Linked DNA regions of Ovis aries. The protein of the gene in region 1 interacts with the protein of each later gene in a biochemical or structural test. Links are inferred from orthologs where the notes say so. Each region holds a gene or a part of one and is shown in the gene's direction. Other genes may lie near its edges.

The links.
Region 2: the proteins of LRP1 (region 1) and DAB1 form a complex in vitro, tested with the Homo sapiens proteins (2 studies listed by BioGRID). The link is inferred for Ovis aries from reciprocal best matches to the Homo sapiens genes LRP1 and DAB1.
Region 3: the proteins of LRP1 (region 1) and APOE form a complex in vitro, tested with the Homo sapiens proteins (2 studies listed by IntAct, with this or other methods). The link is inferred for Ovis aries from reciprocal best matches to the Homo sapiens genes LRP1 and APOE.
Region 4: the proteins of LRP1 (region 1) and LPL form a complex in vitro, tested with the Homo sapiens proteins (3 studies listed by BioGRID). The link is inferred for Ovis aries from reciprocal best matches to the Homo sapiens genes LRP1 and LPL.
Region 5: the proteins of LRP1 (region 1) and APBB1 form a complex in vitro, tested with the Homo sapiens proteins (2 studies listed by BioGRID and IntAct, with this or other methods). The link is inferred for Ovis aries from reciprocal best matches to the Homo sapiens genes LRP1 and APBB1.
Region 6: the proteins of LRP1 (region 1) and PLAT form a complex in vitro, tested with the Homo sapiens proteins (2 studies listed by BioGRID). The link is inferred for Ovis aries from reciprocal best matches to the Homo sapiens genes LRP1 and PLAT.
Region 7: the proteins of LRP1 (region 1) and THBS1 form a complex in vitro, tested with the Homo sapiens proteins (3 studies listed by BioGRID). The link is inferred for Ovis aries from reciprocal best matches to the Homo sapiens genes LRP1 and THBS1.

The regions. Positions count from the first base shown.
Region 1 is NC_056056.1:162,409,824-162,413,323, reverse strand, and holds the end of LRP1 (prolow-density lipoprotein receptor-related protein 1), read left to right. Parts: intron 1-338; coding exon 339-515; intron 516-654; coding exon 655-795; intron 796-905; coding exon 906-1,079; intron 1,080-1,301; coding exon 1,302-1,463; intron 1,464-1,850; coding exon 1,851-2,025; intron 2,026-2,210; coding exon 2,211-2,312; intron 2,313-2,453; coding exon 2,454-2,518; intron 2,519-2,598; coding exon 2,599-2,689; intron 2,690-2,802; coding exon 2,803-2,947; intron 2,948-3,085; coding exon 3,086-3,226; 3' UTR 3,227-3,386; downstream 3,387-3,500. UniProt on the Homo sapiens protein: Endocytic receptor involved in endocytosis and in phagocytosis of apoptotic cells. Required for early embryonic development. Involved in cellular lipid homeostasis.
Region 2 is NC_056054.1:32,967,013-32,971,020, reverse strand, and holds the start of DAB1 (disabled homolog 1), read left to right. Parts: upstream 1-1,208; 5' UTR 1,209-1,480; intron 1,481-4,008. UniProt on the Homo sapiens protein: Signaling adapter of the reelin-mediated signaling pathway, which regulates the migration and differentiation of postmitotic neurons during brain development.
Region 3 is NC_056067.1:52,423,412-52,427,681, forward strand, and holds the start of APOE (apolipoprotein E), read left to right. Parts: upstream 1-1,470; 5' UTR 1,471-1,630; intron 1,631-3,525; exon of another isoform or gene 3,526-3,581; intron 3,582-3,767; exon of another isoform or gene 3,768-4,009; intron 4,010-4,270. UniProt on the Homo sapiens protein: APOE is an apolipoprotein, a protein associating with lipid particles, that mainly functions in lipoprotein-mediated lipid transport between organs via the plasma and interstitial fluids.
Region 4 is NC_056055.1:45,935,610-45,939,109, reverse strand, and holds part of LPL (lipoprotein lipase precursor), read left to right. Parts: intron 1-2,699; coding exon 2,700-2,869; intron 2,870-3,500. UniProt on the Homo sapiens protein: Key enzyme in triglyceride metabolism.
Region 5 is NC_056068.1:46,391,686-46,394,867, forward strand, and holds the end of APBB1 (amyloid beta precursor protein binding family B member 1), read left to right. Parts: intron 1-1,588; coding exon 1,589-1,704; intron 1,705-1,848; coding exon 1,849-2,025; intron 2,026-2,107; coding exon 2,108-2,275; 3' UTR 2,276-2,682; downstream 2,683-3,182. UniProt on the Homo sapiens protein: Transcription coregulator that can have both coactivator and corepressor functions. Adapter protein that forms a transcriptionally active complex with the gamma-secretase-derived amyloid precursor protein (APP) intracellular domain.
Region 6 is NC_056079.1:36,401,518-36,405,454, reverse strand, and holds the start of PLAT (tissue-type plasminogen activator), read left to right. Parts: upstream 1-1,137; 5' UTR 1,138-1,216; intron 1,217-3,937. UniProt on the Homo sapiens protein: Converts the abundant, but inactive, zymogen plasminogen to plasmin by hydrolyzing a single Arg-Val bond in plasminogen.
Region 7 is NC_056060.1:33,437,131-33,440,630, forward strand, and holds part of THBS1 (thrombospondin-1), read left to right. Parts: coding exon 1-140; intron 141-251; coding exon 252-374; intron 375-1,395; coding exon 1,396-1,489; intron 1,490-2,898; coding exon 2,899-3,075; intron 3,076-3,385; coding exon 3,386-3,500. UniProt on the Homo sapiens protein: Adhesive glycoprotein that mediates cell-to-cell and cell-to-matrix interactions.

The DNA.
Region 1 (3,500 bases):
TTGGGCCCCTCCCAACCAGTCACCCCCAGGACCAGTCCTGCAGGCCTGAGTCCACCCTGACCCTCTGGGCCCCCTTTACATTCATTCATTTTACCAATAGGTATTGAGCTGCGTGGAGGCGACATGGGTGATAATGGGAACTTAGCACACATGGGGAGAGGGAGCAGAAGTCGCTCCTGACCCCACATTCAGAGGCTGATGGGACCTGTTGCCAGTGGGAGGAATAGGTTGAGGGGTGGTGTGAACAGGACGTGTTCAGCTTGAGGTCCCTGAGAGCCTTGGGACCCAGTGACAGGAGAGTGTCACTAAGGTCTAAGTCCCCTCTGACTTCTCCCCAGGCCTGAGTCACCCCTTCAGCATTGATGTCTTCGAGGATTACATCTATGGCGTCACCTACATCAATAATCGTGTCTTCAAGATCCATAAGTTTGGACACAGCCCCTTGATCAACCTGACTGGGGGCCTGAGCCACGCCTCCGATGTGGTCCTGTACCACCAGCATAAGCAGCCTGAAGGTGGGCAGAGAGGGAGAGCCCGGGCTGGGGCAGGGAAGGCCCAGGGGTGCTATCTCCAGGCTGCAGCCTCAGGTTTTGGTGGGCAGGGGAGGTTTGGGTCACAGGACTCAGCCTTCTCCCACGCTGCCCACCTCTGCAGTGACCAACCCCTGTGACCGCAAAAAGTGCGAGTGGCTCTGCCTGCTGAGTCCCAGTGGGCCCGTCTGCACCTGTCCCAATGGGAAGCGACTGGACAATGGCACCTGTGTGGCTGTGCCCTCACCGACGCCCCCGCCAGACGGTATGCTCACGCCCCTCCCTGGCCCCTCATCCCTGCCCTGGAACCCTCCTCCCTACAGCCCCTGAATCCACCCCCTACGCCGGCTCTGCCCTTGACAACCCTTCCTGCAGCTCCTCGGCCTGGAACCTGCAACCTACAATGTTTCAACGGCGGCAGCTGCTTCCTCAACGCACGGAGGCAGCCTAAGTGTCGATGCCAGCCCCGCTACACAGGCGACAAGTGTGAGCTGGACCAGTGCTGGGAGCACTGTCGCAACGGGGGCACCTGCGCTGCCTCTCCCTCGGGTATGGCCTTTGGTTCTCCTGCCAGGACTCCTCCTGGCCCCTGGACCCTGCTGCCCCCAAGCCACCTCTGCCCTGCCTTACTTCGCCTCTGCTGCCCTCCCACCTGCTGCCCCCAACCCCAGCATTGCTGTCCTCTGCTGCCTGCCTCCCAGCCCTGTTCCCCTGCAGTAGGGCCAGGCGGTCAGTGGGCCACAGTCCGGCTCACACGTCGTCTCCTGCCAGGCATGCCCACGTGCCGGTGCCCCACAGGCTTCACGGGCCCCAAATGCACCCAGCAGGTGTGTGCAGGCTACTGTGCCAACAACAGCACCTGCACGGTCAACCAGGGCAACCAGCCCCAGTGCCGATGCCTGCCCGGCTTCCTGGGGGACCGCTGCCAGTACCGTGAGTGAGCCACCCCTGGGCCCCAGCCAGGGATGATGGAGGTGGGGGTGGGGGGTGTGTGGGTCACAGGGGCTAGTTCTAGGGAAGGAGGCCATTCGCAGCTCAGCCAGGCTCGAGGTACCAGGGCTTCTCCCCAGGGAGAGGTCAGCACACCCCCTCTTCCCAGAGGTAGTGAACCCTCTGGCATTGGGATTATTCAAGCAAAAGCAGTGCCCTGTTGGGATGCTCCCAGATATCTTTGTAACCCTGGAGCCTGTGACATGGAGACAGTGGGGGGCTCAGGAGGAGGTGGAAGTCACCCCAAAGGCCAGAGGCCCCCCCCACCTCTAGAGGACCCTCATGACAGTGGGGCTTGAGACACCTCCTCTCTCATCCCCTGAACCACAGGACAGTGCTCTGGCTACTGTGAGAACTTCGGCACGTGCCAGATGGCCGCCGATGGCTCCCGCCAGTGCCGCTGCACCGCCTACTTTGAGGGGCCCAGGTGTGAGGTGAACAAGTGTAGCCGCTGTCTCGACGGGGCCTGTGTGGTCAACAAGCAGAGCGGGGATGTCACCTGCAAGTGAGTGGGGCCCACTCCCAGTCTGTCCCACCCTCCACCCTCTCCCCACCAGCCTAACCCACCCTCCCAACCCCAGCCCTCCCCTTCCCAGCCTCTCGGACACCCCCCCAGCCCCGCCCCGCCCCTTCCCAGCCTCTTGGACACCCTCCACCAGCCCCGCCCAGCCGCTGCCCTCCTCCCCGCAGCTGTTCCGATGGCCGGGTGGCCCCCAGCTGTCTGACCTGCGTTGGCCACTGCAGCAATGGCGGTTCCTGCACCATGAACAGCAAAATGATGCCTGAGTGCCAGTGAGTTGGGCCTGTGCCTCACCAAGGCCTAGATCAGCCTTCCCTCCCCCAAGTTTGAGCCAGACCAGCAGGAGCCTACGGTTCCTCCCAGTTTCCCTGGTGGATGGCATGCCCACTCAGCTCTGCCCCTCCCGTCTGCAGGTGCCCACCCCACATGGCGGGACCCCGATGTGAGGAACAAGTGGTCGGCCAGCAGCAGCCTGGACGTAGGTGGAAGGGACGTGGGATGGAGGGCTTTGTGCCTCTGAGGCCTTTTGGACTCAGCTTCCCTCCTCTTTGCCTCTAGATATGGCCTCCATCCTAATTCCTCTGCTGTTGCTGCTGCTGATGCTTCTGGTAGCCGGAGTGGTATTCTGGTACAAGCGGCGAGTCCGAGGGTGAGTTGTGGGGAGTCTGGAAAATTAGGGCCATGATGTTACTGCCCTAGTCCCACCCCCTCCTAGAATCCCTGCCCTCATGCTCCCACCTTCCCCCCCACCCACCCACCCAGGGCTAAGGGCTTCCAGCACCAGCGGATGACCAACGGGGCCATGAACGTGGAGATCGGGAATCCCACCTATAAGATGTATGAAGGCGGGGAGCCTGATGATGTAGGGGGCCTACTGGATGCGGACTTCGCCTTGGACCCTGACAAGGTGGGCTGGGAGGGGGCTTCCAGGACAGGAACAGAGGGCTGTGGGTGGGGCAACCAAGTGTGTTGGGCTGGATGATGGAATGAATGGAGGTAGGTAGAAGGTACCTGAGCCCAATCTGAACCCTCTGTTGCCTTGCAGCCCACCAACTTCACCAACCCCGTGTATGCCACACTGTACATGGGCGGTCATGGCAGCCGCCACTCCCTGGCCAGCACGGACGAGAAGCGAGAACTCCTGGGCCGGGGCCCTGAGGATGAGATAGGGGACCCCTTGGCGTAGGGTCCTACACCATCGGACTTCCCCAGAGAGCCTCTGCCCCCGGCCAGAGAAGTCCTTCAAGGAGCCCCCCTCTTGCCCAGCCAACCCCTCCCCAGCCCTGCTGGGATGTATAAATGTAAAAAATGAAGGAATTACTTTTTATATGTGAGTGAGCAAGCGAGCAAGCGAGCACAGTATTATCTCTTTCCGTTCTCCTTCCTGCCTGCTCCTCAGCAAACCCCCCCCCCATGCTGCCTTCCGGGAGGGGGGGAACAGGAAAGGGGCTCCTGCAAAT
Region 2 (4,008 bases), on another chromosome or scaffold:
CACACTGTTTCCTATCCTCTAAAAATCACAGTTTTACTATCTCCAAAAAAATTGCCTACTGACACCCTCCTATAAGACCAGCCTCTCTCTCTAACTTCTCTTATACCACTAGTCACCAGCCTTGCTCCATTTCAGCCACAGTTGGTTTCTCTGTGCTCCTCAAATGCATTCAACTCATTCCTGCCTCAGGGCCTTTGCACTTGCTATTCCCTCTGCCTTTAATGCTTTCTGGTCTCAGGTCAATGGTCATTGTCTCTGAGAGTCCTTTTCCAATCCCCAGACTGATGTCCTACCCCAGCTTTTTCTTACCACACATCACCATCTTTTAAAATTGGTGTCATAGCAGTTGTTACTATCTGTCAGTTTTTACTAATTTACTTGTTTATTGTTTCTGTCCTCATACTGGAGAGTAAATTCAAGACCTTAAGGATTACTTGTCTATCTTTTTGAACCTCTTACCCTACTCCATAGAAGAGACTGGCACAGTTGGCATGCAAATAAATTGTTAGTGAATGAGTGGATTGTTACTGATGTATTATTATCCCAGGAAAAGCACACTTGCTGTGAGTAGGGAAAAGTCCTACCATTTGCTATCACTTAACCTGTGTAGAGATCGATGTTTATCTCATTTGGTTCTTACAGTAATCCTATGAGACAGATAATCTGGTTCCCATTTTGCAGATGAAGAAATGGAGCCTCCATCATTTCTTCGGCAATTTGCTTAAGATCTCAACAACTGCAACTGGAACCCTTGTCTGCCTGTTCCTGTGCCCACACACTGGATCCTGGGGGAGGGCACAACAACTTCTCTGAGGATTCTGCTCGTGCAAGACAGCACGTGTCTGCTGCGGCAAAACCTCGTGTGTGTGAAGACTCCGCCGAGGATGAGGCTGTGTAAAAGCATGTGCAGGCCAAGAGCCTAGCGACAGCTCCCGGAGGACTTCCTCTAATAAACCGTCATTACTTGGCCTGAAGTCCAGATTTCTCTGCGGAATAGAGAGTCCCAAAAGGTGAAGGCTGCGGAGTGGCTGCAAGTTTTGGCCTCGCTGTGTTCAGAGCTGGGAGGGAACTTATGAGTGGGTACTGAGGTCCTTCTTCCCTCCAGCGGTGCTCACGTCCTGTCCGGGTCGGCCTCGCTACTGATGCGGTCGCCTGCATTCTGCGCTAGGTGGCGAAATGCTGTGGGGCTCCCCTATTCGGGGGAATGCGGTAGTGATGTATAAGGTATGAAAGATGTGGCCTGCAGAGAGCCGGCACTATCTCTACTGCTGCCGCTACTGCTGCCGGCAGAGCTGCTGGGAGTGAGCATCCCCCGTCAGGGATACCCAGCTCCGCGGCATCTCCTGCGCGCCCTGGCCCCAAACGGACCTGCCACCCCCAGGGAACAAAAGCAGAGCCCCCTCGCCCTCTCCTGCTGCAACCGGAGGATGAGTCGAGAGGGCTGAGCGGAGAGTGTGGTCCTCGGCGGCCGGCGGGGAAGGTAGGAGAAGGTGTTGGGCTCTCTCGCTCAGGCGTGGGAGGCTCGGGGTGGGCGGGCAGGGGCAGGGGCGGCAAAGGGGACCAGTCTGTCCCCGGGGTGCTGCCCGGCCCGGCGAGGTGGTCATCTGGAACGCAGCGCCCGCACCGCCTGCCAGCCCAGCGCAGGGCGGGTGTGGAGCTCCGCAACCGCGAGGGAGCCCCCTGGGTGGGAATCGGAAGCGGCTGGGGGAAAAGTCCAAAGCCGAAGCCCCACAGGCAGCGGTCCAGGGCACTCGGTGGCGCGCGGCTGGCTGCGAGGCAGGCAGCGTTGGCTGCAGTGTGCGCAAAGTTTTGGGTGGCGCGCAAAGGCGCGGGCAAGGGCCCTGCGCAGCGCAAGTTGCGGCCGCAGCCAGAGGGCGAACCCCGGGGGGCGGGGGACGGTGCTCCAGGCGGACTCCCCGACACTGAGACTGGCGGCTTTTGCTCCTCCATGCCAGCCGAGCCTGGGTTTGCCCTCAGCCATTTAACCCTTTCTGACCTGGGAGAAACAACTTCATCTTCTTCGGAGGCGGCTGCACTCAGGCTGGCTGGATGGCGTCGAGGCTCCCAGCTCAGTCCTTTTGAGCTTTTTCGAGTTTCCCAGCACGTTCTAGGTTTTCTGTTCTTTTCTGGCCACCTCCGTGTCCAAAAACCAGGCAAGCTGGCTGGGGCGGGGTGTCTTCCCCCACTATCTGTAATTTTACCCCACGTACCACCCAGACGCATGTTTTCTCTGTTCTCACTCAGCTTGGCTCTTTGATGCTGTCTTGAAAAATGAGATGATTAATCAATTAGGTTAGTGGCCAATTAGGCATAACCTTGTAGAAAAATAATTATGCCCAGCTCTCTGGGCTTTCACTGTTGATGAGGTGGGAATCCAGCCCAGGTGGAGGGGCTGTTCTAAAAAGATAGGGCCGATCAGGGAATTTCTGGAAATTTCAGATTAAAAAGATTCAAATGTGTGGTAGTGGCGGAGGTTGTGCGGGTGCTACTGTAGGGGTGTGTGTGTGAGAGAGAAAGAGAGAGAGATAATCAATTTTTGCAGAGGAAATTAACCCTTGGCAGCTCGGTCTAGAAGGACTTTGCAGGCAGTACGTTTCAAACACCTCAGGAAAGGTGTGTCCGCTGCTTGCCTTCCCCATCCCCCCTCAACGCTGAGGGGCTCTCGCCTGTAAATCGCCTCACAGTCGCTTTGCTGTTGCTTTGGGAGGCTGAGTTCCGATGAATGCATTTTAGTTTCATGTCCGAGGAATCGCGTTGTTGCATAGGGAGGTTTCTATGCTGTGCCTTCCGAGGATACAGATTTCCCCGGCTTGCGTTCAGTAAAGCGGTTATTAAACCGGGATAAAACAGAGACAATGTGTTACCAGAGCTGGGAAGTTCTTGCTGCCAAGCGAGGCTTCCTTTTGCTTTTGGGTAAAGGACTGGCGGGGTTTGGCACTGCGGTATTACAATACAGCCATATTAAAAAGGTCCTCAGAGCCTAGAGCCGTCCACCACTGCAGCCGCATCTCCCACAGACTTTACTGCTGGAATCCTTCTTCCCGGGAACATGCGGTGGATTTCTGATGAGTACTGAGTGCATTTTAACCCCGTTCTGTTTCTATTTTAATCTTCTTCTGTTTATATCTCTGGACCCTGGAAAGTAGATTCCTGTCCAGAAAGCAAAAACCTAGAGGTGTTCCCAGGGTGGAGGCATTTTTGCAACAGGTCGTAGGTCTGGGTTTTCTGATAATGGGTCCCCCTGGCATTTAGCAAGCTGGGGACCTGCTTCCTTCACCAATGACCGGACTGGGGTGAAACAGGGGGTCCCTGAGATCCCCTGCAGTGCTGACTGTAACTGGTTCTGAATTGTATGGCTTTTCTTCCTTTCCAAGCTGATCCAGAGGAGTAGCTAAGCAGTGCAGTGAGGCAGTGGCTATGCCGCCTCACTCCCAGTAGAATGGAGGGGGACTGGCTGAGGCTTATTGGCAAATAGAAATGGTCCAGCTGGAAGACTGCCTAGTGGTACTGGTGTCCGGGACAACTGGGAACCACATGCCCCACCTGCCTTCATTGGAATCAAGGGCCACCATCCAGTCCTCTCTCTTTTACAAGATTTTTTTTTTTTTCTTTTCTTTTCTTGAAGCTAGACTCAGGTAGTTACCTTACTGTGACCCTATTTGTTGGTCTGAGTCTTGTGCTGGCAAAGGCCTTGCTCCTTTTCTGTAATCAAAGCTTTTTCACATAGTGGGTAGGGATATAGGGTGGGTGAGGTGGGGGGGAAGGAAGGGAGAGAGAAAAGAGGGAAAGAGGAAAAGGCGGGGGGGGGGGGGGGGGGGGGCAGTAGTAAGAGAAAGAGAGACAGAGACAGCTTAAGACTTCAAATACAGACAGTGGGAAAGAGAGAGGCGAGATGGAGAACAAGAAAGGAGGAGGGAGAGAGGAGGAGGAGGGGGAGGACAAGGAAGGGAAGGGGAGGAAGAGGAGGGAGACACAGGCAGAGGGAAACAGGAGGAATTCCAGCGCTGA
Region 3 (4,270 bases), on another chromosome or scaffold:
CTGATCGGCCTCGAAGCCAGGGGCTCTCACATCATTATAAACTCAACATTTGTGTCACAGGCTTATCCTGATATTAAAAGAAAGCTCCAGAAGCTGGATGGAGTATTATCAATGTCCAGCTCCCAACTAGTTGAAATTGCAAACAAAATATTCAGAAACAGAGATGTGGAAGCCAAGAAAGAAACTGAAAAACTGAGCAGACCAGAGATTTGCAATGCTAGCCGTGGCCTTGGGAAGGCCTGCCAGGCTGCCCACGAAAGCCCCTCCCTCCTGGAGACGAGACCACTCCCTCAGGAAACCTCCACGAAAGCCTAGGTCCACGTTACAGCCCAATCAGCGTGCCTGGTGCCGAGGGTTTGGCCGCTGGAAAAACCAATGTCCTAAAACCACTAAAAGCCGGGAATCAACCAGTACAGTGGCAAGCCTTGACGGATGAGAGACTGAATAGGGATGCCGGGGCTCAGAGACACAGGTCCACAAGAGCCCATGATAACATTAAAAGCAGGGGACCAACTTACTGACTTCATGGTGGATACCGGAGCAGGATTGTCAGTAGCAACTGAACCCACGGCACCTCTCTCGAAAAAGGCCACTGCCATAACTGGGATACCTGGAAAGGAAATGATTAAACAATTCTGTAAGCCCTAAAAGTGCCAGATGGCGGGGGCCACCAAGTGACTCATGAGTTCTTATATATCCCTGAATGCCCAGTACCTCTACCAGGAAGAGATCTACTCTCTCAACTGGGATCACAAGTGACCTTTTCCCCCCACGAACACCCCACTTTGCACATTGACCCGCCCAGCTACTTACTTACTCTCCCTCTCAGTTACCCCACAAGATGAATGGAGGTTACATGAATATACTGAGAAAAGACTAGAGGGGATGAACGGCCGGGAGGAAACACTGGCTCAACAACTGCCCGAGGTCTGAGCAGAAGGAAACCCCCCTGGGCTCGCCAAACACCATGCTCCAATAATAATAGAACTTAAGCCCAGTGCCACCCCGGTTAGAAAACGCCAGTATCCATTGCCCCTGGAGGCTCGTCTCGGCATACTGCCACATTTATATAGACTGAAACTGGCCGGCATCCTGATTGAATGCCAATCAGAATGAAATACACCAATCCTGCCAGTTAAAAAGGAAGGGGGACAGGACTATAGGCCAATACAAGATTTAAGGCTGGTCAGCCAAGCTTCCATGACCCTGCAACCCACAGTCCCAAACCTATATACCTTACTCAGCTTCCTCCCTCGAAGTGCAAAAGTTCTATCCTTGTCTGGACTTAAAAGATGCCTTTTTCTGTACACACCTAGCCCAGGTATCACCACCAATTTTTGCTTTCGAATGGGAAGACCCAACAGGGGGCGCCAAACAACAACTAACCTGGACCCCCCTCCCCTGAGGGTTTAAAAATTCTCCAACCATTTTTGAAGAAGCCCTGGCTTCGGACTTAGGCGCATTTCAGCCAGAAAAGTTTGGTTGTTGGCTGCTGCAATACGTGGACAATCTGCTCCTGGCCGCTGAGAACAAGGATGATTGCTGGGAAGGAACCAAGGCCTCGCTGGGACTGCTGATAGAGGCTGGTTACCCGGTCTCGAAAAAGAAGGCTCGGATCTGCCAGGAGGAGGTGAGGTATCTGGGATTTGTTCTAAAGAGGGGCACAAGGCTGTTGGGCCAGTCCAGCGCCATGCCTCTATCTGGGATGGACGGGCTCCCACGGCGCGTATCACCTCTACAGAGGGGTGATATGACTATGAGGTTTTTTTGCATCAAGTAAGACAACAAAAATCAAGGATAGAATGGCATTAGACATCCTCACCGCCTCACAGGGAGGAACCTGTGCCATACTTAAGGTTGAATGTTGTGTATGGAACCTGTGCCATACTTAAGGCTGACCGTTGTATATACATTCCTGATTTATCTGGCACTGTAACGACTGCTTTGGGTGACATGAGGGACCAAGCAAAAGCAATGTCAGATGAAAATATTCCCTTCTGGACCTCGGTCCTATCTTGGGTAAAGGGTGACTGGTGTGAAACTGCGCTCACTGTCATTTTAATAGTTCTGTTATCCGGCCCTTGCACTTTACAACATGTTGTTAACTTTGTAACCTAGAGACGAACCTCACTTTCCCAGATCGGTGTTAGGAGGCCTAGGGTACAATATATTCCTATGAGTGATGCTCCCACTGAGAGTTAGGAGCATCAAGAGAGAGGAATAAAAGAGGAAAGTGGGCAAAGCGGACTCCATCTTGGCTGCAGGACCCCATTTTAGACTTCTTGAAAACTTTGGACTACATGCCGGGGTGTTCTCCCAGTGGACTTTGAGCTTTGTGCCTGGAATCTATAAAAGCAACATTCCAACTGAAAAACAGACCCCTGGATAAAGGGACTCCAGAACTTGTTCCTGGACTTTCTGTCGCCGAAAAGAATATACTAATCTACCCCAGAGGAAAACAAATTGTTATCTGCACAAAACCTATTGATATATGTTAGCCTAATTAGGTGTCTGGACTAATATATGAATCATGATTTAGCCCCTTCACATTATCCAGGCTAGTTTTGAGGAATTCGGGGAGGAGGGTTTGAGCATGTACACTTAGGGTATATAAGGTTGTCACAAAAACTGACCGGGTCCTTGGCTAAGAGAAGACTCTGCCTTGGGCCCACTGGTGTAATAAACTGCACTCCACTATTTGCGTTGTCCTTCTGAGTGAGTTTACTTCCCAGAGAGCAGAGAGTGTGGCTACAACACTCTCAATTCAGGATGCCCGTCTGTGAAACAGCTGGGGCTCATGAACAGGGCTGCAAGGGAGGGAGGGACAGGAGTGTTCACTGTGGCCCAGCACAGAACTGAAGTCCAACATGGGGCCACTGTTTGCCAGCTAACCCTACTTGTTCTCAGTACACACAGTAGCCTGTTGCTTCACCGAATGACGGTGTTAAGTGCAACTCTTTTCCTGGTTTTGTGGACCAAGAAACTGGATGTTCAGAGAGGCTGGGTCGTTGGCTCAGGGTCACACAGCTGACAACTGGCAGAGCCTGGATTCAGGCCTGAGCAGTTTGGTTCTGGAATCCACAGTCCTAAGCAGGCACAGTCCTGAAGCATGCTTCAGGCCCCACTGAAGGAACAATACACAGTTGGGACAAATGCTGGATTTTCAGGTCTCAACCGGGGAAGGGGGCTCAAGAGAGGCACTCTCCTGTGCCCAAGGGAAGAGGGCAAGAGGGAGCTCATGGTAAAGTCCAGATTGCACTCTCAAAGCCTGGGCTTGTAGCAGATACCTTGTACTGTCCCCAGAACTCCTATCCCATTTCTATCCAGCCAGCCAGCTCCCTTCCCCCTCCCTACCCAGAGTCCCAACCCCCTCCTTCCTCTAACCAGGGATTTCAGGCCCCCAGTCCTTTCCCCAAATTCTATTCATCCATCCGCTGGAAAAGAGAAGGGCAGGGGATGGGTGCTGTGGGCAGTGGCCTGTTCCAGCCCCTTCCATGCCCACTGTCCCAGCCCTCACCAGCTCACCTACCCACCAGGATGGAGGAAGCCGCCTGAGTTACTGGGTGAGAAGTCATCTTTTCAAGGGGGCTGGGAGTGGGGGCTGCCAGGCCTCCAGGCCCCACCCCCTCCCCTCCTTGCTGTGTGTGAAGGGGGAGGACAGCCCACCTCGTGACCTGAGGGGGCTGGCCCAGCTTGCCCCAGCTCAGGAGAAGTGGGCGGGCCAGGGGGGAGCCCTATAATTGGACGAATCTGGGATCCGTGAGTCCCTGCTCAATCCCGGAGGCGAAGGACGCGGTTTCCGGAGGCGAAGAGCGCGGTGAGAAGCAGAGCTGGGGGCCACGGAGACCAGCTCAGGGCTTCTGTGGGGGACGGGCTGCGGGAGAGGTGGACGAGGTGACGGTCCGACGCCGCCCGGACCAGGACAAAAGCTTGAGCAGAGGAGGAGACCAGAGACAGGGGACTGGACCTAGAGGGGTGGGGAGCAGGCGTATCCCGTTTGGACTGGAAGGTGGGTTCAGGGGAGCAGCTGGACCTGCAGGAAAAACCAGACGAGAGATAGCAAAAACCCACTAACTGTTACTGCTGTTTACTGAGCACCTACTGGATGCCCACAATTGTCCTAAGATTTTCGGTAAGGGAGGCTCAGGGGCGGCGGCACGGTAGCTAAAGCGTGGGTTGAAGGACTTCTAAATGAGGATTAAATTAGCGAATATGCGGATGACAGCGTTTAGATGTGAAGTTGGAGCTGAGAATGGGAAGATACAGAGGG
Region 4 (3,500 bases), on another chromosome or scaffold:
TCCTTTCTTGCTTTATTTCAGGAGGAGAAATTAGGCTGTAGAGTTTACAGCTGATATTTTTGCAAACATTTTTTTTTGTAAAATTGGAAAGTCAATCTGCTTGTTAGGTAAGCAAGCGGCTTGTCTACATTAGAATGTCTGAAAACTCCAATCAGTTCATTCAGATAGCAACACTGATTTTTTTCCCCAAACCTTTTTTTTTTTTTTTGGTGGGGAGCGGGGGGTCAGCATTCTATAGAAGCTGAGCTGATAATTATGACCATCAGCCTCAGAGAAGAAGTGAATTACTGATGACATTATTTAGGAGTGTATGTTTGTGTGTGTCAGAGAGGAAAAACAAACAGAGAAAGGAAGGAAGTAAAAACTTTAAGAGAATGGCATTATAATTGAGCTCATATACCTCATGTCTTCATATAAATGTTAATCTTATTTATCTGATAACTGTGAACTGCCTTTAGAGTCACTTTTCTGGGATGCTCAATGCTCCTCCTATAATGTACCTTCTATAAGTATACCTTTAAAGGGTTTGGACTTGACCTAATTTCATCTCTGTGAGTTATTATCTGTGTTAAGATAACTCCTAGCCTTTGTCAACACACTTTGATTTTTTGTTGTTTATTTAGGAATTTAGAGATGAAGATTACATAGTCAAGAAATGCATTGACTTGTAACTTACCTGATGCCCCCAAATCTCCCTTAGTGTTTGATGAGGACACATCTCATGGTGTGATGTTACTAATATGATGAGTCAAATTCAGAACAGAGGCCTTAAAAAGGATTAAATGTTAGGCAACTTCCCCTGTAACACACACTATTCTAAGGTGGCTTTACTTCTAAGGGGATCTAGTGAAAGGTCCTTCTATTATCATTTCCATGTATAAAAAACAATAATTTCCTTAGTAGCAGTTGAGTCAAATCAGTTCAATCTGCCAGCCAGGAGCAATCCCCAGGGTATATATTATGATGACTAAACATACTGTTGACCCACAGTCAGGGTCTATCCTTCTCCCTAACTCTTCCTGGCCTAAGTCAGTTGTATGAGGGCTGGTAGAAATTGGGAAACCACACTCATCTTTAGAATGCCAAGACATCCTTAAGTGATTACAAACAACCAGGTATGTGGAAATACCTTTGGTATGTGTCAGAACACCAAGGAGAGGGAAAGACTGATTAAACACCAGTAGCATCTATAATTTCATATACAGAATAGACAAAGAATTGAAAACATCACATAGCATATAGAGGGGTACTGTTTTCTTGTCAAAGGCTTCATTATGCTTTCTGTAACTTAAAAAAAAAATCCGTGAAAAGCAAAACAGAAGTTTCCAAATACAAATTTTCTTGTAAATGTATGAATTTTCTTCTATTTTTCTTTACAAGCTATGTAGCCCATAGAAATGATGGTGTGGGAAATTGGAGCTCTGAATGATCCATATGGTAATCTGGTACAACAGTTAAAGATTTAACAGACTTTTCTTTTTCATAGAAATATACAAATCCTGCCTTAATAATTTCAAAGAATATTCTTAGTCATTTCAAAACCACCAGCAACTCTAGGGCCACCATGTTGCATAAATCTAGAAAAAAAATAGACTAAAAGTGACTCTTATCCTCTGGAGTTATGCATAGCAATAATCTTAAATATCAGTTTAGCAACCAGGTGGTGGGCGAGATCTGTCTGCCAGATTGTTCAGGTTATTTCTGCTTTAAAAAGCTTGCTGATCGAACATATTAAAATAAGACTGTTAAGAAGGGAAACATAAATCATTTGATACAGAGTGATGTGGGTGAAACTAACCTAGCTTGAAATTTTCTAAGGCAGTTTCTAACAGTAAAATAACTTCTTGGGCAAAATCAAAAGTAAATTGCAATACAATTTACTTAAAATTTACTTAAGATGTTTACTATGATATAGTATGTACTTCCTACAAATACCCTGTGAAGATTCATCAACATTTAGAAGTATTGTCCAGAGACTCAAAAATAGGCCAGAGTTTTCTTACTCTCCTGACTCAGTCGGGGCTTAACAATGAAGAGTGGATTCTTTCCAAAACCGCCTCTGCTGTAGTATTTTAAGCATCGGTTTTGTGTGGAAGTCTGTGAAGACATAAGTGAGGAAAGAAATATTAGGGGAAAGAATTAATCATAATTCATACATAGCACAGATATTTCTGAACAAATCACTAAAGCAATTTTGAACTGATGTATCTTGCCATGTGGGGAGGAATAATTCCATACAAAATGTCCCCATGCTTCTAACTTTTCTTCTTGTTAAAATTTTTAAAAATAGTGTAGTGAAAAGGAAACAGTCTTCCCTCAAACAAGCTTTGTTGTTGCTTGTTTTTGTTGGTCGGTCATTATGTCCGACTCTCTGTGACCCCAAGAGCTACAGCATACCAGGCTTCCCTGTGCTTCGCTCTCTCGGAGTTTGCTCAGACTCATATGCATTGAGTTGGTGATGCCATTCAACTATCTTATCCTCTGCAAAGTGTCAGATACAACTGAGCACTGGAGCACTGTCAACTTTGAGTACCACTGGAGGATCAACCATTCTCTTGCAATCTACTTTTTTTTTTTTTTTTTACTTTAGAAACAAAAATAGCATTAGTGGTATTTGCTTGTGAATCTAAAGCACACTAGTCCAGCAAATAAAACAAACCACCCTCTAATTAACCTCCTATCCAATTTTTCATTTTCAGGGATTACAAGAGGAAAAGATTTTAGAGACATTGAAAGTAAATTTGCTCTCAGGACTCCCGAAGACACAGCTGAGGACACTTGCCACCTCATTCCTGGAGTGACGGAATCTGTGGCTAACTGTCACTTCAACCACAGCAGCAAAACCTTTGTGGTGATCCATGGCTGGACGGTAAGGAAGGCTCTTCTTTAGGTAGGAGTAGACTGGCATGAACTAAGCATTCTAACAGGCTTGTTGAGAGCCCAGTGAGTGATGTGGGTTCCCAGTGATAACTTTGCTTTAAACTGAATAAAAACAGTTCTGGCTCAGGTGGGGATTGAGAAATCTAAAGCAACAAGTTGCCTACTATACAGAGTGAAGTAAGTCAGAAAGATAATTCCATACGCATTATGTATGGAATCTAGAAAGCTGGTACTGATAAAATTATTTGCAGGGCAACAGAGATACAGACATAGAGAACAGACTTATGCACGTGGGAGAGAGAGGAAGAAGAGGGTGGGATGTATGGAGAGAGAAACATGGAAACATACATCACCATATGTAAAATAGGCAATGGGAATTTGCTGTATGACTCAGGGAACTCACACTAGGCTCTATAACAACCTAGAGGGGTGGGATAGGGAGAGAGGTGGGATGGAGGTTCCAGAGGGAGGGAGCATAGATATACCTATGGCTGATGCATGTTAATGTTTGGCAGAAATCAACACAATACTGTAAAGTAATTATCTTTCAATTAAAAATAAATTTTTAAAAAGTATATAAGAAAAGCCACATGGGTACTTCCTCTGGACAGTGCTAGCCT
Region 5 (3,182 bases), on another chromosome or scaffold:
TTGATATCTGTCCATGAGATGGCCATAGCCTAGTGTGAAGAAGTTCCTAGCAGTTACAAGATGTGCCAAGAGTTGTCTCAGCAGCACCCTGTCTGCCTGTGGCAGGGAAGGCTTCCCAGACAGGAGGGCCTAGGTGAACCCTGATGCGTGAGAACTGGGAGTTTCGCAGACAGTCAAGAGAGGAGGAGCCCTCTGGAGGGAGGCTTTCCCTCAGTTACAGTCTGTCCCTGGAGGGCACCCTCTTCTTTTACTCTGTGTTTCCCATCTGCCTTGCTGGGCATTTGCCAAGATTAGACGTTGATAATGCTACATAAATCCTTTGAAGCTCAGGGAGCAGTAAAATACGAAGCTTGACAGGTCAGATGAGGCCAGTTTTTGGAGGACTTCATGCTTAGGAGAGAAGTTTGGCTTTGATCCAATCAGAGGTAAGATGAGCAAGGCCAAGGTGAGGGAGGACTTTGGGGGAAGATGTGTTTTCTGCCCTCAAAGGGTCCACAAGTTCGGTTCCCAGTGGGAGCCCAGAGGCACTGACAGGGGCAAGCGGGCCTGGGGGCGGACCAGTGCGTGCTTCCGCATGGACGTCAGTCACTCTAACGTCGTCACTGTAACCACACACAGATGACACAGCCAGCTCGTGAGCAGTGCAGGGAGCAGAACCTATGCCCCATGCTGCTGCCCTGGTTCTCTGCTGAGTCCCAGTGGCGGTGGCATGCACGGATGCATGGGTGGAAATGTCATGGGTGGAAGTGTTTAACGGCAGTTAACATTAGGAGTTAACGGAAACATTGTTACAAGGGCAAGTTGATTGATCTAAAAGCCAGGAACCTTGGATTCCTTGGCTTTTGCATAAATATTAGAAATTACTGAGTGCAGTAAGATTTTGACAGCCCCTTTGGTTCTGAGACTAGGACTACAGACAAGGGGCAGGGGAAAGGCCTGGCTGAGAACTCAGGCTCTGGAATCAGACTGCCTGTCTTCAGATCCTCATTTCTCGGTTGTGACCTAAGGTCAATTACCTGATTTCTCAATATAAGCTTCAGTTTCCTTATCTATAAAATGGTGATAAAGGGATCTGTTGTGAGATTGTGTATGACAGTGCACTATAATGTCATAACGTGGTGTGACACATGAGACAACATTGCTCAAATGGAAATTAAAAAAAAAAAAAAAGCCAAAAGCAAAGCTTGCATCCTGGAGTCTTAAGGACTGGCGAGAACTGGCCTATAGGGGCTGATTTAGGAGTTGTATGAAGCACTGCCGTGTGTGAATGTGGAGAGCAAGGTATGGGGAGGATAGAACTTTGGGGGTCAGTCTGCTTAGAAGGCTGGAGGAAGAGACAGAGTCAGTGAAGCAAAGCAAGCTTAGGATTCAAGATGGAAGAGACTAGAAAAGTGCCAGGTCACCGAAACCAAGGAGGAGTGCACCAAAGAAGGGTATCTATGCAGCATGGTCCAGGGCTGTGGGCAGGTGAAGTAGGGATGGGGCAGAGACCCCGGGCTTGACTGGGCAGAGCTGGACAGTCCAGCGTAGAGCTGGGGTGTCCTCTGTCCACCACCAGCAGTGCCATGTTCATGTCCTTGTCTTTCAGGGGTAGATGTGATAAATGGGGCCCTGGAATCTGTCCTGTCCTCCAGTAGCCGTGAGCAGTGGACCCCAAGTCACGTCAGCGTGGCCCCTGCCACTCTCACCATCTTGCACCAGCAGGTAAAGACCTGGGTGGAGAAGGTATGGCAGGGCCCTGCTGTGGAGGGCAAGACTGGGAATGAGGGGAGGGGCCTCCGGAAAGATGGATGCACCCAGTGGAAGAGGGTCCGGCCATCCCTTTCCAACTGGTGCCCCTCCCCGCAGACGGAGGCAGTGCTGGGGGAGTGCCGGGTGCGCTTCCTGTCCTTCCTGGCCGTGGGCAGAGACGTCCACACGTTTGCATTCATCATGGCTGCCGGCCCAGCCTCCTTCTGCTGCCACATGTTCTGGTGCGAGCCCAATGCTGCCAGCCTCTCGGAGGCCGTGCAGGCTGCGTGCATGGTGAGTGGGGAGGGTGGTGGAGCGGTGGCGCCCAGCCCACTTGGGGCAGGCTGCGGCATGACTGCACCTCCTGCCTTTGCAGCTCCGCTACCAGAAGTGTCTGGATGCCCGCTCCCAGGCCTCCACCTCCTGCCTCCCAGCGCCCCCAGCCGAGTCTGTTGCCCGGCGTGTGGGGTGGACCGTCCGCCGGGGCGTTCAGTCGCTGTGGGGCTCCCTCAAGCCTAAACGGCTGGGGGCCCACACCCCCTGAAGCCGTCCGTGCTCCCTCCACCTGCTTGCGTTGGGCCCCAAGGAACTCAAGGGTGCGGGGTGGGGAGGGGCCCTGCAGGCTATTATTAGACTTCAGGTCCCCCCCCACCAGAGTTGCCCTCCCCAGTAGCTGGGGTTCCTCACCTGGGGGCTGGGAAGGGAGATCTAATTCTGCAAGTGACAATATTGGATTGAGAGAAGAGGAGCAGAAAGAGGAAGCAAGGCCAGCCCCAGCTCTCCATCCCCACGTTTCAGGTGAAGCAGGAGGAACTGGTCGAGGCCAGGCTCCATCTTCATAGGATCCTGCTGGGGCAGAAGCGGGGGGCCAGTCCAGGCATGGGTCCTCTCTCCTCTGCTCTGTGGGTACCTCTGCTGTACTGATATCACTAATAAAGTCTGCCCTGCTCAGCTGTGTGCTTTCCTGTGCCCGCAACACACCATCACTCCAAGAACCCTCCTCCTTCCGTTAGGATTTTGTTCCTGGGCCCCCCTTGCCCTCCCTGCCTCAAAAAAAGAAATTGGGACAGTTGCAGCAGGGTCTCGAGTCCAAGTCCCTTGTATTTATTTGAACAGCCTGGCAACCAGGCAGCAGCAGCCGTACAGGGTTCCTGGCTGACCAGTACAGGCCTGGGGTGACAACTTCTGTCTGGTCTGCCCAGGTCAGTGCCAACTTAGACCTCTGCTCCATGGCCACAAAAGGACAGCAGCCTCAGAGCAGCCAACCCCCCTCCCATATTTTGCTAAACCAGCTCCAGGAAAGGAGGTCTTGTTTTCGAGGTGTGCATGGACCACCAGAGATGGGCCCTTCCACCAGACGTTCTTCTCACAGTGGCCCTCTGGAGTTTTCACGCCTTTCCTACGACAAGCTCTTTCCCACTTCTGGGCCCCAGGGGTGTCAGCACAGCAGT
Region 6 (3,937 bases), on another chromosome or scaffold:
CTCTGCCAGCCCCCAGCATCCTCTCCAGCACCCTTCCTCGTCCTCCTCTCTCACCCTCATGGTGCCTGGTCTCCACTAGACATCGACATAACAGATGCCACCGACTGTGCCCTGTGACGTGCCAGGGATCTCGCGTGCTTTGTCTCTCTCTAATCCATATGTGACCTCAGACGTGAAAGCTCAGCATCACTGAAAAACTTGACTGAGGTCACATCCCTCATGCCCGGTACAGCTGATTCAAGCGTCTGCCTTTCCCTACATGGCTCAGCCCTGGGCCCTGACTTATGAGTCCTCTGCAGGGGGTTACCAAATCCTACGGAGCATTTACGATTAAGAGCAAACTCCAGAACACTAAAACACTTCCCAGTGTCGGGGTGGGCGGGGAGGGATGGAGTTTCTAGTACAGGCAGCCCCGTGGAGTCAGAGCATCAACTCAGCAACCCCACCTGTATCCCCCAGCCCAACCAGACATCTCTGGAGCTGAACAGACCTTAGTAATCAAGGATTCACTTTATGAAGAAGTGAAATGATTTCCCCCCGGGGTGATGGAGCTAGGAGTGGCTCACTCCAGGCTGGGGCACTGCAGGTGTGCAGGTGGGGCCTGCCTACCTCTGCTAACCTGTCCTCACCCCAGCCCCAGGTGATCAAGCCCGCAGGGCGGCTGGCCCTGCCAGGCCCGCTGTTTCAATCTCCTGTGTCCAGAGGGGCAGAGTGACTGCTGGAGATTCCGGAAGAACCCTATCCACTCCGTGTGTCTTTGTTTAGAATTGTAAAAGCCTCTCTCCCCCACTGGGGCTTAGAGCTAACGGATCCTCAGGGTCCCTTTAAGGAGGTTGAGACTAGGGTTTGAAAGGAAGATGGTTCTTCGGGTTCCCCTCCAACATCCAACTCCCAAATTCCTGTGATTCGTTGATGACATCAGGACCATGAATAATCGGCCTGGCCCCGAGCCAGGATGGGCTGGGCTGCTTCCATGGGGGAAATTCCTCCCCCCCTTTATGAAAAGAGGCCCGCCCCAGCTTGGCTCCTGCGGGGCCCAGTGTCCACTGGGCATCCTCCTGCCGCAGCAAAGCCCGCCCACCCAGGGCCAGCGACCCCACCCCCTGCCTTGAAATTTAAAGGAGGCCGGTGCCCTGCAGGGAGAGCCAGCCACGGTCCTGCAGAGCCTGGCGCCGAAGACAACGCCTCTGGAGGAGGGAGAAGGCTTGGGCGCACGGTAGGTTGGACTCTGTGCCTCTCTGTCCCTGGCTCCTCTTCTCTCTCTTAAAAGTCTTTATGAGCCACTGAAGGAATGTCGGCCCGAGGGGGCTGACTCCGTCACTCAGGCCAAAAGTGGGGTTCGCTAGAATCCATGTCTGGAGGGAGGTTTCTTTTTGAATGTGCATCCTACAGGGATGGGCTGAAGCGTTCGAGGGGACAGCAGCGGTCAGGGCAAGAGAGAGGGCACTAGGGTTGTGTCTCCTGAAGCAGAAATCTCTGCTCGCACAGGGGAAAGTGAAAAGGGTGATCCATACCCGCTCTGAGTAGACGGTGGGCCCGGCTCATCACTCACGGGCAAGAGAAGGGAGACAGGCTGATGGGGTCAGAGGCCAGAGGGTCCCGGGGGCATGAGCCCACAGGGAAACTGAGGCAGGGCTGGGCAGAGAGCGACTTGCCCACGGAGGATTCACTGGGTGGGAAGTGCTGGGTGAGAGGAAGGGGGAAACCGTCAGAGCGAAGCCTCCGGTCTCCTTCCGAGGCCGGGTTTTGTCCTCTGGCTTTTTGCCCAGGATGGGAGGGGAGGGCTCTTTGAGGACTCTTCCAATTACAGAGTCTTCTCTTCCCCAAGCTCTCTACAGGAACTGTATTGGGCATTCTAGGCTTTCACTGTTATTATGTTGATTTTCTTTACCTCCCAGAGAGGGAGGGAGGGAGGGAAGGAAGGCACTCTAAGGTAACTGATGACACGCTCAAGCCCAAAGCCGTGTGGTGGCGGTGACTGATGTGGACGGCAGTGGTGGCCTCCCGCAGCTGGTGCATGACAGAGAAAACATTATGTGTGTGTGCGTGTGCATGTGTGTGCAAGCCCATGAAGAAATTCTGAAATACAGCCGCTAAGTGGAGTTTCCTCAGAAGGGCTTCCTAGCAAGTCTTGCCTGGGGGCAGAAGACGTCCCAGGATCTGGGCTCTGACTGCTCCAGAATCAATAGATGACAGTCAGAGGAGCTGCCGGCTAAGTGCTTCCTGTGAGAGCAAAGCCAGACCTGGCGCCAGCAGAGACGGCGCAAATAACCGAAATAGGAAGAGCTCCATCCTACCCATCAACTGATCGCACCTAAAACATTCTCAGAGACACCAGCCTGCAAGCGCCGGCTCTTGGCATGAGCAAGCGAGAGCTTGCTCTCCGCCCGAATGGTCCAGGCTCTTTGCGGATGCTCGGTTTATTTTATAAACCATTAGATCAGATTCTCCCAGTGAGGCTGCTCTCTGTGGCTTCTGCACTGGCCTGGGACAGTTCCTGCTTCTGGAGGAACAGAAATGGTCCCATGATGAGTTTTCGCTTGTGGGGGCAGGACCTGGGGACCTGGGGACCTAGCGTGTTGGTGAGCAGAGCTGGTGATCAGTAGATTTCAAACGAATGCAAAGAGCAACCCAGCCAGATCCCTGGCGGTGTGACGTGAAGCTGTCATCACCACGAAAGGCTTTTTGTGAGTGAGTGGCCAGGACCACAGGCCATCTGGGAAGTCCCTGCCCAGGTGGGGCCTGTCTCTACTTCACCTCCAGGTCTTCTGGTCCCGCCTGGGGTTTTACAGCAGCGTGAGGGGCCTTGGGCTAGACCGTCGTTTGAGAGGAGCACAGTTGGCTTTAAACTTCCAAAGCTTCCAGAGGGAGGGTAGGCTGTCTTGGATCAGAGGCCGAGGGGACAGCATGGCTCATGGAATGAATAGCAAGCAGGCTTGCTGTGTGTGCTAAATCACTTCAGTCGTGTCTGGCTCTTTGGAACCCCACTGACTGTAGCCTGCCAGGCTCCTCTGTCGATGGGAGTCTCCAGGCAAGAATACTGGCATGGATTGCCATGCCCTCCTCCAGGGAATCTTCCCCACCCAGGGATCGAACCAGCATCTCTTATGTCTCCTGTGTTGGCAGGTAGGTTCTTTACTGCTAGCGCCACCTGGGAAGCCCAATAGTAGGCTTAGTTCCAGTCAAAACTCAAAATCTATATGCTTCTCTGAATACTGAATATCTGGGGGAGGGAGGAGGGAACATTTGTGTCTTGAGTTGAAGTGTTCAGTTTCAAAGGCTCCCAGGCATGTGCAGTCTCAGAATAAAATCTGTATTCCCTATGAGTGACTTTCTGCCTTGTTCTGATAGGATGGTCAGAGTGGACGGTGAGTGACCGGAATACTCTGTTCATTCCTTCTTTGGCTGTTCTCTGTGCACAGAGAAAAACTGTGTCCCTAGTTTCAGACAGTAAAACTCATCCTAGCCAACCAGCTCACAAAACCAAGGGCTGGGTCTCCAGTGGAGCCAGATTAAAAGGTGAGGAGGATCCAGACTCACAGAAAGCTCGAGCTAGGAAGAATCTTCTGAACCATCTGCCCTAGTCCAGCCCTCAAGTCCAGGCACACGGTCTCCTGCTATTCGCCTGAGCGTCTACTTACATATTAAGGAGAGCACACTTTCTCAGTCATACTTGTGCATTTTACATTCCACTTTCCCACCTGCGAAAAAGACTTCTATAGAAGGGCATAGAGGGATAGATGAACAGACCTCTTGATCGCCTGAAAGTTGAAACTTAGTACAAAGGGAAAAGGAACTGGGTGCTGGGCCCACAGCAGGCATTTTATAAACAGTTTTGAAGGTACAAGCCAGGCAAGTTCTGGTTTTGATCATGATTCTCCAGAAAATGATAGCAGCAGTTCTTCCTGGGGAACTGGTACAACTGGGGGGTCTTTAG
Region 7 (3,500 bases), on another chromosome or scaffold:
GCACCGACTACATCGGCCACAAGACAAAGGACCTGCAAGCCATTTGTGGCATCTCATGTGACGAGCTGTCCAGCATGGTCCTAGAGCTCAGGGGTCTACGCACCATTGTGACCACGCTGCAGGACAGTATCCGCAAAGTGGTCAGTAGTCTCCACCCACCGCCTGTTAGCAGGAGCCCCTGCATGTGATGGTGATGATGCTGAGGGACTGAAAGTGAGGCTCGATGCTAATAACCTTTCTCCCCCTTTTAGACCGAAGAGAACAAAGAGCTGGCCAATGAGCTGAGGAGGCCCCCACTCTGCTACCACAACGGAGTCCAGTACAGGACTGGTGACGAGTGGACGGTGGACAGCTGCACTGAGTGTCGCTGCCAGGTAAGGCTCTCGACGGACTGAAACACAAATGGATGGCACACTCTCTGAAGAAAGAGCCAGATGGCTGCGGAGGCTCTTTTCATGTTCCATGGCTGGATACCCAAGTGGTGTCTTTTTCTTAAGATGCAGCTATGACATCTATAAAATCATTTAAATGCTCAGAGTTTTTCAAAGTCTTAATTATACCCCAGGCTAAGAATAATATCTAAAAGAGTATATCTATTTAAATATCTCGGTAACTTACCTGCTTTAGTTCAAGAGCTAAGTGTTGAATATCAGGTAAGTAAAATCAAGTTGGAACCCCCCCCCCACAACCTGATTCATATTTGGCTATGACATGGAGATTCTTTAATACAGTACTGATTGCTATTCAAATCACTTGGCCCAACATCATTAGAACTATCCACTTACCTCAGATGGTACTGCCTGTAGTGTATGTGTCCTTCTGGCTCACCCCCTACCCAACGCCAGGGGCAGAGGATTTTGGGGGGGTGTTGCTGGCTCATTGAGCAAAGTCAAGCTTAAATACAAATCATGGATTGCCGGATTTGGGAGCCACCTTTACTAAACTCCCATTTTTGTCCAATATTATATAAAGCCATATTTATATATGAGAAAGTAAGATGCTCATTGATCTTCTTTTCCCCATAAAGATGTAATTTAAAATTTTTAAAGTCCTGGCTGAGTTTCAGGAATTTGATTTTAGACACAGAGTAACAGATCTGACTCATGATATTAGGTGGTTCCAACTGCATAAATTCATGTTGTTCTGTGCATGAAGAAGTGACTAAGTGGCAATTGAGACGAATTCTAGAGGGATGGAGTGACAAGTAAGCAGCCCTTGAACTGTCTCTACAGTACTGGTGGCTGCCAAAAGACAGGCAGAGCTTCTATTAAAATCATTCCACTAGAGCATTTATAGCCCAGACGACATTTCAGCTTGTAATTGAAATGGTTCAGTATGTAAGCTTCTGCTTGCAATATGCTTAGTACCCATTTCTCCTTCACTGTTGCCCTGCAGAACTCAGTTACCATCTGCAAAAAAGTGTCCTGTCCCATCATGCCCTGCTCCAACGCCACAGTTCCTGATGGAGAATGCTGCCCACGGTGCTGGCGTAAGTTCCTAAGATTGTTGGCCATGCTTCAGTGACTGGATTGATTGTACATAATGCTGGAATACCAGTCCCATCTCTGTCACATGTTTTCATTCAGTTTCTTGCTACAGCATCTGGTTAGCTGATGGCTTGTCTGCTGTATACAACCAAAAAAATGCCATTATGACTAAATTACCCCCCTAATTGTGGTGTAGACAATAACCTTAGTATAGTTTATTGAGTATGATTCTGTGCTTTGAGAAAAGATGAGATGAATTGGTAGCAGCAGTAGCTTTAAGTTAACTGGATTTAGAATCTGACCTTGTGGCCTAGAGTCAGTAAAAATCTGCTCACTGGAGAAATTGATGGACTTAACTGGGCCTGAAAGTTCTACCCATTTTATCTACAGGCGTAGGAGACCTAAGAAAAAATAGTACTTTGAGTCTCAGGGCTCTGTAAGAAATTGTATTGTTTCATGGTACCCAGTCCCTGGGTTTTGCTGCCAGTATAATTAATCACTTTGCTGAGACACTGTAGTAAGTACAAGTCATAAAGATGATTTATCACAACTAAGATGCATGAAACAGGAAAGTAGCACTCCCCCTTCACATCCACGCCCCCCACACTCCCTGTTTCCTACACACACGGATCATAGCTCAGAAGAGCCAGTTCCCTTCAGAGATGTCAGTGACATTGGAACTGTCATAATCATTTGTACATTGCTTTCTGTTCAGCATTCACTTCAGATGTGGGTTAAAGGGAACAAGGCTAGCTAGGGACTAGCAGAGTGCTGAATTTTGAGTCAGGGATTACTAGGAAAACTTCGAACTGATGGCAAGAGAAAACAAAGTTCTCTATCTCCTGTCAGATACAGGACGTGATTGTAGTCATGGCGCCTGGGCAGATGGTAAACAAACACACTTCCCTCTTATGAAAATATGTGCAGAAAAGGCCCCAAATGCTAGGGTGAGAGGAGCAACCCGCTGACTGACCTCATGACTGATCCAGGGCCAGAGCCAACAGCGGCTCCGCTGCCTTCAGATTCATCTGCCAAACATGTGGGTCTCTGACTCTCCTGAAAGTCAGAAGTGATTCCTATAAGTTGCCTAAAACCCAAGTATTCTTGGAAGCCTGGGGCTGGAAATGCCTACCAAGACATCTTAAGTCAAAAAAGGGAAACTCATTTAAAATGCAGACTTGGAAGAAGGGGGCGAGGATGACTAGAAACATATGTGGGGGAAAGGTTCAGCTATACCGACCCAGGCAAAGCATGCAATTACCCCAAAGCTGTGCACAGAATGACCGCTTGGCCATTGGCCTAACAAATATATTGCTTTTCACTCTCTGGCATGGGAAGAAAGTCCAGAGCAGAGCAGCCCAAAGAATAGCTTGTTTTCATGATAACACACTAAATGCACCCATTTGCTCAGCAGCCAGCGACTCTGCAGACGATGGCTGGTCCCCGTGGTCTGAGTGGACCTCTTGCTCTGTGACCTGTGGCAATGGAATCCAGCAGCGTGGCCGCTCCTGCGACAGCCTCAACAACAGATGCGAGGGCTCCTCTGTGCAGACGCGGACCTGCCACATCCAGGAGTGTGACAAGAGATGTAAGTGTTGGGCCACTTGGGGATGTGGAGACCTGACTTGTCCTTGTTGTCACCAATAGCAACTTCAGAGCACAGAGGTTGAGGGCACAGGTTCTAGACTCTGATCTAATCCCAGTTCTCTGCCTTATCTGTGCACCCTTGAGCACAGCTTCTCCTCTCTGAGGCTCTTATCTGTAAATTGGGGGTAAAAATAGTGTAAAGATGTTTAGTTTGGCGAGTTTGAAGATGTGGTTTAGAGGATGCATTTAAAGTGTTAATGTAGAGCTTGGCTTGTGGGAAGCACCATATAACCATCAGCTTTGTCCTTTAGTTAAACAGGATGGAGGCTGGAGCCACTGGTCCCCGTGGTCATCTTGTTCCGTAACATGTGGAGATGGTGTGATCACAAGGATCCGGCTCTGCAACTCCCCCAGCCCCCAGATGAA